Oreochromis niloticus: one gene and its partner. The protein of the gene in region 1 purifies or fractionates together with the protein of each later gene. This does not show direct contact. Links are inferred from orthologs where the notes say so. Each region holds a gene or a part of one and is shown on either strand. Other genes may lie near its edges.

Region 1 (8,262 bases):
TTTATATGTGTTTTTTGCTGTTACTGCTCTTTCTAGAGTGCTCTTATTTTCAAAGATGTGAAGGTTCGAGGATTTTGGGTAACACAGTGGAAGAGAGTTCACTCTCATGGTACGTAGGCATGGAGTTTCTGATTGTATGAAATTAATCTAAAAAAGATAAACATTTCCCTAATTTACAGGGATATTGTTTTTCCTAGATGGAAGGGCATTTAGAGCCATGCTGGATGAACTGTGCTCCCTCATCAAGCAGGGAAAGCTGACAGCTCCCGCCTGCACTGAGGTGGGTCTGCAGCAGTATCACGCAGCTCTGGATGCTGCTATGCAGCCTTTCTCATCAACTAAACAGGTTTTGGTCATGTGAACTAGCTGATACTATCAACTAACCACCGGATATTCAAGAACACTGCATGTATATTTGGGTGAAACCCGAGAGCTGTCACATTCTTGCTGATATGTCAAAGAAATCCACATTCTCAATAAAAGTGTCTTCACATAAGACTCAAAGTTCAGCGTCCGTCATGTTCTGTAGTGACACTTTACAGTGTTTACAGGCAGCTGTCAAAAGATTATGAAGTCATTATAAGAAGATATGAAATGCCAGGAGTTATCACAGAACACAGATAATACAACTTTATCTTGTAATTTTTTTAAAACTGATTGCTTTGCTTTGAAGTTGCATGGACAATGGAAGTAATGTTAAGACATTTGTTATGAAATCCTGATATAATCAATTTTTTCAGCTAATGTGCATGAAATTCATAAGATTGAGTTTTGGATTCATAACAAGCTACAGTAGAGTTTACACAAATAAAACGATGGTAGCTGGCCTTTAGAGGCACAAGAATACTGTGTAGTTTTGAAACAAAGTATTCAGCCAGTACCCATAAATCAAGGTCAAGGGGCACACCAAAGATTACTGAAGACAAAGGTTGCATTTTTCCATAGTTTAATTATACACTGGAGCATGACTCATTTCATTTATAGATGTAATATAACTGAAAGTATGAAAATGCATTATTATAGTGCTACATGTTAAATAGTGACATTTAAAACAAATACCTGCTACTTGATGTTTCTCTGGATTTATCATTTAAACAATGAAATTCATTACAAATGTTGAGACCAGAAAGCTATTCTCAGATTCCTCTGCTAAAAGTGTGCAGTTTTTAAGGTGGAACGTCATACAGCTGCTGATGAAGCCAGTCGGAAAGTCAGAGGGGGAGTTTGCATTGCTCAGTGGGTCAGTGATACATGTGTGAACATGACTTTTATACTTTTGAAACAAAAGATTATTGCATAATTTTAAATTCTGAGGGAGAAAGCTTATATGTTGGTGTAGGGAAACAATGAACCTATACTAAGTTCAGAGTTAGTTATAGTTCAAAGTAGTATTGAATTAATTACTCACTGGCCACCACCAGACTTAAAGCCACGGAGATGAGTGGCAACAGGCCACCATAGATGAAAACTGCCCCCTCTTTAACGAGGCAGTGTTCATACCTGTCAAAGTCTACCTCTCGTGCTGCGCACACGTGGTCAACGCGGCAGTCGCTGTCACAATCCCTCAGGTCATAGTTCACAGAGTTGAAATCATAGTACTTCTGCAGGTAGCGGGGGTCATCAGCTACACGCTTCAGAACCTCGTGCATGGAGGCTGGAGAGGCATCTGGTACTCTGAAACTCTCTGTGAGGCGATACTCTTTCTCCCAGCGTCCTGTGGCTACATTAGCATGAGTAAGGTTCAGGTAATAGGTCACCACATCCTGCGTGAGAGAAAGCATATGGTTTAAACACAGAAAGCAGAACATTAGAAGCATTACAAGATATTTCTGAAGGTTTTATAATTTTTTAAAATACAAATATATATTTATATAAGTTGCGTAAGAGCCTAATAATACTATTGCTACTTTTGACTGCCCCGTTGCCACGAGGAGCGTTTCACGTTTGATTTAGCAGTTGATGATTTGAGTTTTACACCGGATGGTCTTTCTGGAGCTAGAGTAAAAGGGGATTTTTGTATCTGGGTGATAATGAACTAGCAACCGTTCCCTTGTGTTAACCACTACACCACTAGAGGAACATAAATGTCTAATGAAAATTGTAAAGGCCAAAACTTGCCTTGACTACCAGTGTTTCTGTGTCATATTCAAAGACACGAATCCCAGGATTGTTCGCTCCATCCTTAACTCCAGGAAGTGTTGTTTCCCACGGTGTGACACCAGGGCTGAGGAACATGGTACTAATGGGAGAACCTGTAGAAACGGACAAGATATCAGCTCTATCAGTATTAGTGTGTGTTAATGTTAACGCTGGATATTGGAGACGCATTCCAGCTAAGTGATAAACAGGTAATACAAATACAAGGTGAAATGAGTACTATTACTGCAGTGTGGCTTACCCTCTGTGTTGTAGAACATACGGAAGCTATCAGTGTGATGATGGCCAAAGAACTGCCCTTTTATTACAGAATGATGCTTCTCAATTAAATCCAAATATCGCCGGTTGAACTTTGGTGTAAACCATGGCTTACTTCTTTTCTTCTCGAAGAAACCTGGAGGAACGTGGCCAATGATGTAAACCTGATAAACCAAACAATACAGAGTTAACTAAAATCCAATCAGGACCAAGTCTCTTTTTTGGAGGGGCAATTGCTTATACAGGATTGTATTCATTACAAACTACATCTTTTATTGAGCTCTAGTCCCTAACATCCAAACATCCATGAACAAGATGAGATGCTTTGCCTTCTCTTTGTTGTTGGCCGCCTCTGTAAGAATCTGATCTGACCAACTAAACTGGTCCGCTGGGTCATCCATGTTCTTGGTCAGCTTGTTCTGATCATAGTAGAGATTGGTGTTAAGGACCAGCATCCTGAAACCAGTCTGATTCATGAGCTTTTCTGTGTAGTATCCACCTGTGCAAGAGGAACATTGCAGAAAATGTCTGTTCAAAATTTTCCTGTGCATCATAAACTGATGTATTCATTCTTTGGAAAGTCATTACACATATATTTGTAACTATTAGAGAAAGCCATCTTCACCTTTTTTAAATGTTTCTTTTGACTTTGGATCCAACCAGCCCTGCCACATTTCTGCTATTCGGTCATACATGGAGTTTGGGGCTGCAGGAAGCTGACTCTTTGGGTGGTAATCATGGTTCCCCAGGGCTGAGTACACTTTAGTGTCTAAACAAGACAATAATGTATAAAAGACATTATTTATTAGAAGTAGCCAACACTTATACACTGTCGTATGCGTTGACCTTGCATGTTTCCACCCGATTTTGTACTTACTTGGAAAAACTTGATTTATGATGTCAGTGAGGTTGCCGATAATGCTGAGCACTGCCTCTTCTCCCAGATCTTTATCATCAACATGTGGAGTGTCATCACTGAGAAGTAACACAGCAGATTGTTTCAGGATTAATTGCAGTCAAACATTATGTCGATACCAAATACCAATCTGAAAATATCATGACTGTAAAGGCAGACAAGCATTTCTTTCCCCAGATATAGTCTTGAGACTAGCACTGTCCTGCAAAATTCATTTAAAAAAAAAGTAACATACCCAGTCCATACGATGAAGTCCGGGTTTGGTAGAATATTCTTCATTGCATAAACAGAAGAGTTGATCAGGTGCCATGGCGAGTCACAAACATAGTGTCCAAATTTACCAGCATTGGCTGCAGGTCGTTTGCCACTGGATGCGCACACCAGTGCAGGATTGTTGTTGCTCAGTTCGTACGTTGGGTCCCAGTGGAGATCCGTGATGTGCCAAAAGTTCCCTGTGTAAGAACGATGCGTAATAGCACCTAGTAAGTTACCCCGAGATTAAGATATATACTTGATTTATCTGGTGCTTACCTGAGAGCGCAAAAGCCTCTTTAAAAAGAAAGCAAGACAGAAGCAGCCTTACTGCCGACATGTCGAAGCCTTTGAGAGGAAGAAACATCCGACAAAAATCAAGACCTGATTTAAAAGGTATGCCGTAAGTCTATAAAGGCGAAATCACGATAAGATACGGCTGGTCATGACGCGTCTGAGGCTTGAAGGTGTTTGGATCCCTATGTGCAGGTGATACTTCGCTATCAGTAATGAAGTTCAACCGTCACCCTGTGATGCAAGACTACGTTTTAGCCTGCATACAATAAAATAAAATAAAATAAATAAAAATAAGTTTCAGAATAAATTTAAAGACAATAAAAAGCTTCAGCTGAGAAAACCTCTATACACACATCTGTGAAGCTATTTAGGAGTCGAATTCCTGCTTGTAGACTACGCCTAGACTATTTTTATGTGGACTAAATTTAAATTTAGTAGACCTTCTTTTACCTTATTTGGGCATGCGCTGTTTAAGAATCCAATAAATATACATACATTCATAGCACAAATAGGAGTATATATAGACACATTATATTAAAACACATCTACGTGCGAATGTTTTCGCGGTTACAGTGTAATATTTCACTAAATACAAAAAGGATTTTATGCATGGTGCCCTCGCGTGATACTCGTATTCCCCAAAATCGACACTGTTATAACTGTGGAGAATCTGTTTCTCAAGCTGATGATGCAAATAAAAAATTGTTTGCTTTGTTTTGCTTTTGTGATTATTATTATTTGTTTCGCTTATTTCTTTTTACAGTAAAGGGGCATTTGGGGGAAAAGCGTAGTTAATCATCGTTGGAACTTTTGCAATGTCTGTCTGTTTTTGATAAACACAGCTATGCGTTTGCAAATGTTCTTTGGAAATGATTTTTGCAAAGCCTCAAAACCGCGCGTGAGCACGTAGTTCTTCGGGAAGTTCATGAAAGCAAACCTAGGACTCTTTCAAAATCATTCCCTGATGTTTCTCTTTCAGGCAGACGTAACTCCCAGGCTACGGACTGCTTCATTAAGTAATATAGCAAATAATGATAATAATAGTAATAATAATAATAATACTAATGTTAGCACATGTTAAACAGTGGTTTGGGTCCAGAGTTTGTGCTTTTGCATTGGTCAGTCTTGGCGCTAGAAGGGGAACGATAGCCTGACAAGCAAAACTTAGGGCTGAATTACTTCATCTTTAAGCTCTGCGTCATCATAGATTTCGCGGGAGTTCCGCTGTGCGCCTGCGCTGTACATTGAAGCTTGCGCGCGGGATTAAACGAGGAAGAGGATCACAGAAATACGTTTGGCTACAGATATTACTGCACGGTGTAAATAACATTTTACGCCTTACTTTAATAAGTTATACAAACAGCGGAAGCATGTGGAATCAGGGTGAGTTGTATTTCGATACCGTTGTGTTTATAAATAGCCATATGGGCTCGGTGACGCTGTGTTGTTTCGGTCCACGTTAGCTTGACTACAGACGTCTTTGTTATTGTGTGTTGAATGTGAGTGTAGGTGGGTCAAATGAAGATCATATCGAATAAACGATTTCACTGACACAGTTGTTTACCTCTTTATACATTTTCAGGAGGGTACAGTGAATCCAGTATGGCTGGGGGCTACACTCAGTCTCCAGGAGGATTTGCATCACCTGCCTTATCCCAGGGGGGAGAGAAAAAGGGGGTCTGTACTTATATCTAAACTTAAAAGTCGGTATAATTCACTAAAGACTTGACACAGACATAAATCTGTAAATATAGTGCTGAAAACCAGCAACAACATACCTTCATTTGCCAAATGACATATCCCCTCTTTGTACACATGTTGACTTCTGTGATAGAAGCACAAATTGACAGGTCTCTGCTGCACGACAGTTAACCCATTTGTGTTTGGGTGTATATCTTTGCAGAGAACACGTGCCAACCAAATAATCCCCTGCACAGTGTCTCAGCTAATGTCTGCTTCCCAAGCCGATGAGTCATTCAGAGTAGGAGATGTGGATGTTGCCCAGGTGAGCCAAACCATTCAGTTAGTTCTCTAACCAGTTACTTTTTCAGCACTTAAAATCATTAGTTTGTTACTCTGTAATACAGTTTTTTTTTTTTTACTTCTGCAGTTGAACAACAGCAACTTTCCACTCCCTTTTGAGTACAAGTTACTTTTGTTTACAGAAATTATGTAAATGTGCATATATGTCGATTGTACTTTTTTGTCCTTTTAAATGTTTAAAATAAACATCTATCTAACAGTCAGACCAAATGCAGAATTTTAAATCATTTTATGTTACAACATTTTGCAGCATGGACGTAATAACTATTCTAATATTTCCAGATTTGATAATAATTGTGGTCTGTGTCATAGGTCACCATTGTGGGGGTCATCAGAAGCACAGATAAATCCATGACCAACATCCAGTACAAGGTTGATGACATGACAGGTGCTCCCATGGATGTGAAGCAGTGGGTAGACACAGAGGTAAGTATCCACCATCACAACTCTGCTGCAAGCTCAGTCTGTATTGAAACATGAGGTAATTAAATCAAATCAAATCACTTTTATTGTCACATCACATGTGCAGGTACACTGGTACAGTACATGCAAGTGAAATTCTTGTGTGCAAGCTTCACAAGCAACAGAGGTGTGCAAAAATACAATAACATAAGAACAAGCAAAATATAAGAATGGGTAAATCTGAGAATTAAATGAATAAATATATGTACAATATAAGAGTGTATGCGCATTGCTGAATGTGTATACTAAATATGTATATCTAGGTGTGTGTGTGTGTGTGTGTGTGTGTATTTATATATATACATATTTTTAAAAATTAAATAGAATAAACAATAAAATAAAATATACAGAGGTTGGCAGTTGGAAATGTGCAAAACAAGTGGCATTTATATACAGTATGGAGTGCATAATGTTGAAGCTCTGGTAAGTGAAGGTGAGGTGTCTATGAAGTGTTCAGCAGTCTGATGGCCTGATGGAAAAAGCTGTCTCTCAGTCTGCTGGTACGGGACCAGATACTGCAGAACCTCCTTCCTGATGGAAGTAGTCTGAACAGTTTATGGCTGGGGTGACTGGAGTCCTTGATGATCCTCCCCGCTTTCCTCAGGCACCGCTTCCTGTAGATGTCCTGGAGGGAGGGAAGCTCACCTCCAATTATCCGTTCAGAACACCGCACTACTCTCTGGAGAGCTTTGCGGTTGTAAGCGGTGCTGTTGCCATACCAGGTGGTGATGCATCCAGTGAGGATGCTCCCAATGGCACAGCGACAACAGACAATATGTATAAAATGTATAAAAACTCTATTACATAGTGAGAAAACTACTAAACTATAATATCTGTTTAGTATTGCATTTCTCTGAGTAGATGGCTAAAAGGAAAGGGCAGTAGTACCTCAATGCCAATCTCCTGTTCTAAAATCTTAAGGAAAATTAGCTGGAATTGTATGAAAAGGATCAAGTATGTGCTTTTTATTTATACAGGACCAAAGTGTGGACAGCACTGTCCTTCCCCCAGGAACTTATGTCAAAGTGTCTGGAAATCTGCGCTCTTTTCAGGTGAGTTTAATATTTGCCACCTATGACCGCTTATTAGTTTAAAAGTGTGGTTGCTATCAGGCCCCAGCCCATTCCGTCCACCGTCCACTCCATCCACCGTCTACTACAGGGGTGTCCAACTCCAGGCCTCAGGATGTGTCCTCCAGAGAGGACATATCCTGCAGGTTTTAGATGTGTCCTTGATCCTACACAGCTGATTTAAATGGTTAAATTGCCTCCTCAGCATGTCTTGAAGTTCTCCAGAGGCCTGGTAATGAAATAAATCCTTTGATTCAGGTGTGTTGACCAAGGGTCATATCTAAAACCTGCAGGACACCGGCACTTGAGGCCCTGCTCTACCAGCTTACTTGGTGGTTGGGTTGATGTTGTGGCGTTTTTCAAAGTCAATCAGCTGCTTCCCGCAGTCAGACTGATTCCTCCCCCCCCTCAACCACAAACAGACTGTGAATCAATTGGAAATGGTTAATTTAAAGTAAATGCTAATGACATTTCCACAGTACCCAGAATCAAATAGGAACTTATGACTTGCATCATGATTTCATCGAAAGGCTACATGACAGTGTAAAATTTTTAAGCGGCTGTGTGATTTCTCAATCATACAAACATTTTTGACAATCTCATATTTAATTTTGTTCACATTTAAACATTTATTAACCTTTTTTTGTGTGTGTGTGACATGTATCTAACATGTGTCTAAATTACACTGGGGCTCCACTAAAGGTTTTTATACCGTTACCAAGATAGATTTGTTTCGTCACTTGAAATACTTGAAGTGCATTGTTGCTTGCTTTAGTTCCTCTCTGAATTCATGATGGCGTGTCTATT
Region 2 (7,472 bases), on another chromosome or scaffold:
AGTTTTTGATTAAATGGTAAATGGCCTGTATTTGTATAGCACTTTACTTAGTCCCTAAGGACCCCAAAGCACTTTACACATTCAGTCATCCACCCATTCACACACTGGTGATGGCAAGCTACATTGTAGCCACAGCCGCCCTGGGGTGCACTGACAGAGGCAAGGCTGCCAGACACTGGCGCCACCGGGCCCTCTGACCACCACCAGTAGGCAACAGGTGAAGTGTCTTGCCCAAGGACACAACAATCGAGACTGTCGGAGCCGGGGCTCGAACCGGCAACCTTCCGATTACAAGACGAGCTGCCAACTCTTGAGCCCCGATCGCCCCGATTAATTTCCTCTTTCTTGCTTTAACAGTTGATTAACTGCTGTTATGTGTTTTTAGGTTTGATTGCCCTTCTAGAAGATGGAGAATCACTGGAGCACCTAATGTCTCTCCCCCCTGACGAGTTGCTGCTCCGCTGGGTCAACTATCATCTACGCAACGCAGGAACGGAAACAATCAGCAACTTCAGCGAAGACATCAAGGTACCGTGCAGAACAAATACACATACATGTGAATACACAGTGTCATGAGTGTAACCCCATCTTGTACTCTCCCACCGAAGGACTCACGGGCCTACTTCCACCTGATGGATCAGATCACTTCCTGTGAGGAGGATGAATTCCAAATGAAGATAAAAATTGACATGAGCGGCCTCAATGTGAGCCAAAAAATGTTCACATAACAGTGAGAAACTAATAAATGAAGCTAAATGTAAAGATCAACACTTCTTTCTGTCATTTTAACCAGTTTTCTTCAAATTCTGATATGATTATATCCACATAGTGTCTGTTCTTCTATGCATACATGTCTGTGTGTGTGTTTGTTGTGAAGGAGTGGGATTTGGAGAAAAGGGCTGAGCTGATGCTGCAGCAGGCAGCCAAACTGGACTGCAGGCAGTTTGTTACTGCTCGTGATGTCACATCTGGAAACAGCAAACTGAACATGGCCTTCGTGGCCAACCTGTTCAACATGCACCCCGGTCTGCAGAAGTTTCTGATGAACGGAGGCAATTTAGAGCACATAGAGAGTGAGATATATTCACCACTACATCTTGGCCTTACAATTACACGACAGAATCATAAAATGCTGAACTGTACAGTACACAGAGGCATATTAGCCATAAAATCAGCATGCAGAAAACAGACGTAATGCTATGCTAGTTATACGTGCCATAGACCAATAAAAAGCCAGAGATGATAATAGGTTCTTGAGTGTTTGACGTCTAGACTATAGATGAAGTCAGCTGTATGATAACATGTATGATGTCTTCATATAATTCCAGAGGAGACCAGAGAAGAAAAAACATTTCGCAACTGGATGAACTCTCTGGGTGTTTCTCCACATGTGCACCATCTTTACCAGTATGTCATCAGTTATACATAATCATGTTGACCATATCAGTTATTTAGGGTGAATGGACCTGTAAATCAAGGTTCAGCTTCATTTAATGATTAGCATGAGTGTCCTCATATAACATTCTACTGAAGACTCCACAAGAGTAAGATATGGGCTTAGCTTTAATCTTAAATTTTAATGCTTTCCTCATGCAGACAGCATTGAAAATATAGTTTGAAAATAATAAATCCCTTATCTAATTATAAGTGTTATTATTATTATTTATTAGCTTTAAAGCACAGTAAAACATGAGCTCCCTCTAAGACTGCTAAAACTCCATAATTCAATAAAAATAGAGAGGACATGCTCTAAGTGTTCTCAGTGGTGGTCATTTTTTCTTCTTCTTCTATTGAAATCAATTATCTGTGTCATTGTTTTTTTCCAGTGACCTGTGTGACGGCTTGGTGATTCTGCAGCTTTATGATAAGGTCAATGTGCCTGTGGACTGGAAGAAAGTCAACCGCCCTCCTTATCCTGCGCTGGGGGCCAATATGAAGAAGGTACTACATGCTAACAAGCAGAGCACAGTGATGATGACAGGAAACGCACAGCAGTGGGAAATATGAGAGATGCAATGTTGTTTTTTGTTTTTTTCCCTGTATCCCAGCTGGAAAACTGTAACTATGCTGTGGACCTGGGCAGGAATGTTGCCCGCTTCTCCCTGGTTGGAATTGGAGGAGTAAATCTAAACGAGGGGAGTCGTGTACACACCTTAGGGCTGGTCTGGCAGCTGATGAGGAGGTATGTGCACGCAGAGCTGCAGGATGTTTTGCTTGCTATAGTACATTGTTTGGTGAAAACAGACAGTCCGTGGTTTGGCGCTGCTGCTCATTGTATAGTTTCAGTTACCTTTACTTCTTACAATCCTCCAGGTACACAGTTCAGGTTTTGTCCGATTTGGGTGATGGAGAGAGGGTGGTAGATCAAATCATCCTGGACTGGGTCAACAAGATGCTGAGCCAGAATGGAAAGGACACACAAATCAGCAGCTTCAAGGTGTGTATCTTTGTTTGTGAAATGGTTTGATATCAAAAGACTGTGTGCTTTAAACCCCTTTTTGCCTGTTTTTTGCAGGACAAGCTGATCAGCACCAGCCTGCCAGTGATTGACCTGATCGATGTAATCGCTCCGGGAATGGTCAAGTTCCACGTGGTAGCAAGAGGAGAAAATGGAGTGCTGAAGAAAGATGATAAAATCAACAATGCCAAGTAAGAAATAAACTTTTTTAAACTCCCAACCACTTTGGATTTTTCGCTCTTTTATAATTTCCTTACTCCTCTCTCCTTCTGTGCTGCTGCCAGGTATGCAATCTCATTGGCTCGTAAGATTGGCGCTCGTGTCTACGCTCTGCCTGACGATTTGGTGGAGGTCAATCCCAAGATGGTGATGACTGTGTTTGCCTGCCTCATGGGGCATGGTATGAAGAAAGCCAAACCCTGAAGTGGGTACAAACAACACTGAATGAAGATGAAAAAATATATTTGTATTTTACTTTTAAAAAATTATTTTTATTCCTTTACTTTGAGTTTTAACCTCGCCGTGCGTACAAAACAAAAACAGTCTAGCATTGTCTATTATTCGTTTGCAAGAAAAAAAAGCTGTATATCATTTTCCATCAATAAAGATAATTCTTTCTTTTATACGTGATTTTATGGAATATTGTTCTTTGCTTTATTATACTTAACCCATTCTATTTACTTCTTCTGCAATATGAGCCAGAGATCCAGCAGAAGAAAAAGCAGAATTATACACACATCTGTTCTATCAAATACATTTTATGTCTGTAAATGTTGTTCATTAAATATTGCTATTTAATTAATAAAGAGAATCTGTTAAATGTACGAAATACCTGTGAATGTTTTGTGTATCAAAATACAAATTCCTTCTGGACTTCAGAAGTAAAGAGCAAATTGGTTATAACATGTATATTAGTTCAGAAGTGCATGAAATATAATTGAATCAAAAGCCATCAAAAGCAAAAATCTGGATTTTCTACATAGCTTCTAAAAATGGGCATAACTGAAAACTTTAAGGTTAAAAATACTTGAAAGATGGGAGGTGACAATAATCTGACATTACTTGATATTTATCTATTTATTTTTTACCAATTTTCTAATATGTTTCAGTCTCCCCTTTAGATAAGGGGAAGCATCTTATACATCTTGTTTCAAAAAGCTGCATGGTGAATAAAGGAACAGAAACACTTGTGTTTCTCTTGTTATTGTAGGTTCTTTACCTTGCAATATAAAGTGTTTTGATGTGACTTTTGTTGTGACTTGTACTATATAAATACCATTTAACTGATTTAAGAAATTCTACTGTAATTTTAAATTTAGCAACTTAATTAAGACATACATTAAACTCTAATCACAAAATACAACATTGCCTCATGAATAGTAAAGTAACACAGTTGTAGGCAGGCATACACAGTTTCACAAATATTTACATTATATATCTTGTATTATACCCTCTTTTTACACATTATTTACTACTGCAATTGCACTACTCCTTTGCACAGTCTCAGTTAGATTTTTTTATTTCACCTTTTTACTTCTCCTTTGAAAAAAAAAATCACTGTTGTGTATATTTTTACCCTGCCTACATTGTAAGACATTTACTATGGGCCTGTGGTACTTTTACTATTAACAATTAAAAAAAATTTTTTTTTTTTACATATTTTTTCCTGCCGTAAAAGACATACTTTAACGTTACTTTAACGACCAGAGGAAGCTCTTACTAGTTTGCTTTTTGTTTGAGCTTATAGACCCTCGCTGGCTTCCGTATCAAAACAGAAACGTCATTTTGGAGCGAAAGTTTTGGAAAGACTTGACAGGCAGAAGGAGACGTGGAGATGTGTACTGGTTAAAAATGATTAGATAGAGCCATATATTAATGTATTAAAGAGTTTTATCGAACAGGGACATACAAAGTTTAAAAATGGAAGGTCTGGAAATGTCTGCGATGATACCGGCTCTTCAGGAGCTAGCTAGGTGAGTACACGGCTAAAGTTGGCTAAGAGCTAAGTAGTTAACAGTACCAGTCATTTGGGCTAAAGTGAGTCCTCGTCTTTACTTATTGAAGTCGATAAAAACCGTTGCTTCATCATGTCTCTGTGAATAACATCGTGCTGATGTTTGCAGTGCGAGCGCTGCAGAGTACGACCAGGTGGTACAGAAACCTCGACAGATTCTCTGCCAGTTCATCGACAGGATACTGACAGATGTGGATGTCGGTAAGGCGGTGTTATCGACACTTACTTGGGGTGGTCACCATAATAAAAGCCTCTGAAAGGACATCAGTAAAAAACAAACAAACAGCTTTTTGGTGTACACTGTCAGACTTATCTGCTGACACATTCCCTTAAGTTGTTGCTTACAATGACTGCTATTTCCCCTTGCTAATATACTGTGCTGATTTCTTTTTCTTTCTTTTTTTGTATATTTGTCACACTTGCATGTTTCAGATCATCAGACAAATTTTAAAAATAGAGATAGCCTGAGTAAATGTAACATGCAGGTTATGAATTCCTGAAAAACTCCTGTAAAATAATAATACTGATAATACTACTACTACTACTACTACTACTAATAATAATAATAATAATAATAATAATAATAATTATTATTATTATTATAAAAATAGGAAAAAAACTATCCAAACCTTTGTGAAAAAGTAACTGCCCCCTAAACCTAATAACTGGTTGTGCCAACCTTAACAGGAAGAACTGCAGTCAAGTGATGGTGATAAGTTGCAACAAGTCTTTCACATAAGATCAGCCATATTGGAAGTTTTTCAAGCATGAGCGGTCTGTTTAAGGTCATGCCAAAGCATTTAAATTAGATTTAAGCCTGGACTTTGACTAGGCCGCTGCAGAACTTTCATTTTGATCTTTATGGGGTTTTTTTTAAGCACTTAAGACTTCCTGGTGGGTGTGGGATCACTGAACATTATTCTTGGTTCTTTTGTGACTTAATGGATGAGTTGTTGATGCACTCTCTGAGCAATTTTGATAGGCTGTCTACTCCTGGGAATGTTTTCCACTGTTAAAATCCGTGGATCACTGGAGTCTCAAAGCCTTAGAAATGGTTTTGTAACCCTTTCCAGACAGTTCTTTTAACCTACTTCACCTCAGATAGGTTCTATTTAAGGCATTTCTTGATTCAACAAGCCTGGCAGTAATCACGTCTGGGTGTTACTTGTGAAATTAAATTGAGCTTTCAACCAATGTGGTAAATCACAATTAATTCATGATTTAAAAAGGGAGGAATTACTGTTTCAGTCAGGGCCAGGTAGGTTTCGGTAGCTTTTCTTTCTCTTATTTAATGAAATCAAAATTTAAGAACTACACTTTGAATTTAATCAGGTTATCTTTGTCTAATATTAAAATGTGTTTGATGATATGAAATATGAAAATGTCACAAAAAAGTAAGCAGGTTTAAACCCTAACAAGCTCATGTGTGCACATCAGACATGCTTCCTTTATTCCTTAAATTCCTTTATCTTTACCTTTATTACATTTAGTACGCAGAGTTTGTTATAAACCATATTAGTTTTTGTCTTCCCCCCACTTGCATGAATCTTGCCCCTTACTCTACACCTGCACCTGTAACTTCCCCTTTGCAATATGAAGGTGATATAACAGCAGTTCACATTGCTGGCAGGTGTTTGTTCGGCAAACAGAAACCCAGTCTGTGTTAGGAGTTCCAAAACACAAAGAGGGCACATCGGGTGTGACTACAGATAGGAAAAGTACAACTAATATAAACCTGTGTCTGCTTCTGTCTTCTTGCTGCTGTTGTATAAATTTATGATCTCCAGTAGTTTACTTGGTAATTAACTCTTGGCTTCTCAGATTCTTTTGAATAAATATTGTACCTGGAGTTTAAATCAGTGTCTTTCTTTAAGCTTTTTATCATTTAGTGACTTTTCAAGTTAATATTGCAAGAATATTTGACTTATCCTCTGTATGTGTACCAGCTCTTTGAACAAAACGGTTGTCTTTTCTTCCAGTTGCTTTAGGGCTAAATAAGAAGTCCAGCTCAGAGCCAGCCTGTGTGATGCTGCTGGACTTCGTGCAGCACATAGTTAAATCTTCATCTCTGATGTTTGCCAACCCTGCCTGTCAGCCTGCTGAATACCCAGACACCACACAGAGCTGCACTGGTAGGAAATTCTTCTCAAAATGCTGCCATAAGTGATTTCAGAAATTAGAAAAAAAATGAACATGTTTTCCTCTTTCCTTTCTCCTTTAATATCTTCTCATTCCTTGTCTTGATTTTAGACTTCAGTAAGTGGGTGGCGGTGCGTTTCCTTCGTGTGGCAGCAGCTCCAGGCTGTGATATCATCCATGGACGGGTCTCTGCTGTGTTGTGCTCTTTACTTCACACTCTGAGAGTCCGGGCACCATTTATCTTTAATTGCCTCATTCAGGAACTCATATTTCTGTGCCAGGAACTCAGCCATAACCTGTATGCACATATTTGCACACTTGGAGGACAGGGACATGTTTTGGAGATTCACACAAAGAGCCAGTGGCCTGTAAACCTCAAGTGCTTCAGTTTATCCCCCCTCTGTGCCTCCTCATACCTCACCCCCTCTGCCCTTGTGCTCTCCTCACCTGCTGCCTTGGAGTCGCTGACTGCCATAACGATCGACATCATAACTGAGTCTCTGCGGGGAGTCATCTCCCGTCGTGACCTGAGTTTAGCCTGGGAGGCTGCATGCTTCATCCTGGCCAACGGGAACACCAGGCTGAGGAAGGCCTCCATGGTGATGCTGAGAACACTGGTGGAGCTCAGAGGATTTCCTGAGATGCAGGGCCACGAATTCTTTGCAGCCTACTTCCAGTTGCTGGAAACACACTCCTGCTCTGCCACAGCAAACATAAATGAGAAAGAAGCTTACGAAGGAGAGCTGCTAAGCCTGACCCGCTGTGTGTTTCAGCCATCTTATGTCTCTCACTCACACTTTGAGCCCATCTACCTCTCACAGATGTTCGAGTGTGTTTGCACTCTTGCTGGAGCTGGCGTCA

The links. The genes of interacting proteins can lie anywhere in the genome.
Region 2: the proteins of rpa2 (region 1) and atr purify together in Homo sapiens (affinity purification with western blotting; 3 studies listed by BioGRID, with this or other methods). This does not show direct contact. The link is inferred for Oreochromis niloticus from reciprocal best matches to the Homo sapiens genes RPA2 and ATR.

The regions. Positions count from the first base shown.
Region 1 is NC_031976.2:26,300,222-26,308,483, reverse strand, and holds the start of rpa2 (replication protein A 32 kDa subunit), read left to right. Parts: upstream 1-5,103; 5' UTR 5,104-5,250; coding exon 5,251-5,263; intron 5,264-5,462; coding exon 5,463-5,557; intron 5,558-5,783; coding exon 5,784-5,885; intron 5,886-6,235; coding exon 6,236-6,349; intron 6,350-7,362; coding exon 7,363-7,437; intron 7,438-8,262. Other genes in the region: mecr (enoyl-[acyl-carrier-protein] reductase, mitochondrial), read left to right, coding at 37-109, 198-361; smpdl3b (acid sphingomyelinase-like phosphodiesterase 3b), read right to left, coding at 1,401-1,763, 2,119-2,252, 2,399-2,579, 2,745-2,914, 3,041-3,184, 3,293-3,390, 3,567-3,783, 3,863-3,950. UniProt on the Homo sapiens protein: As part of the heterotrimeric replication protein A complex (RPA/RP-A), binds and stabilizes single-stranded DNA intermediates that form during DNA replication or upon DNA stress.
Region 2 is NC_031983.2:20,160,876-20,168,347, reverse strand, and holds the start of atr (serine/threonine-protein kinase ATR), read left to right. Parts: upstream 1-4,213; 5' UTR 4,214-4,378; coding exon 4,379-4,431; intron 4,432-4,581; coding exon 4,582-4,673; intron 4,674-6,451; coding exon 6,452-6,604; intron 6,605-6,722; coding exon 6,723-7,472. Other genes in the region: pls1 (plastin-1), read left to right, coding at 386-528, 609-704, 878-1,073, 1,329-1,407, 1,827-1,941, 2,049-2,182, 2,314-2,437, 2,516-2,649 and 1 more. UniProt on the Homo sapiens protein: Serine/threonine protein kinase which activates checkpoint signaling upon genotoxic stresses such as ionizing radiation (IR), ultraviolet light (UV), or DNA replication stalling, thereby acting as a DNA damage sensor.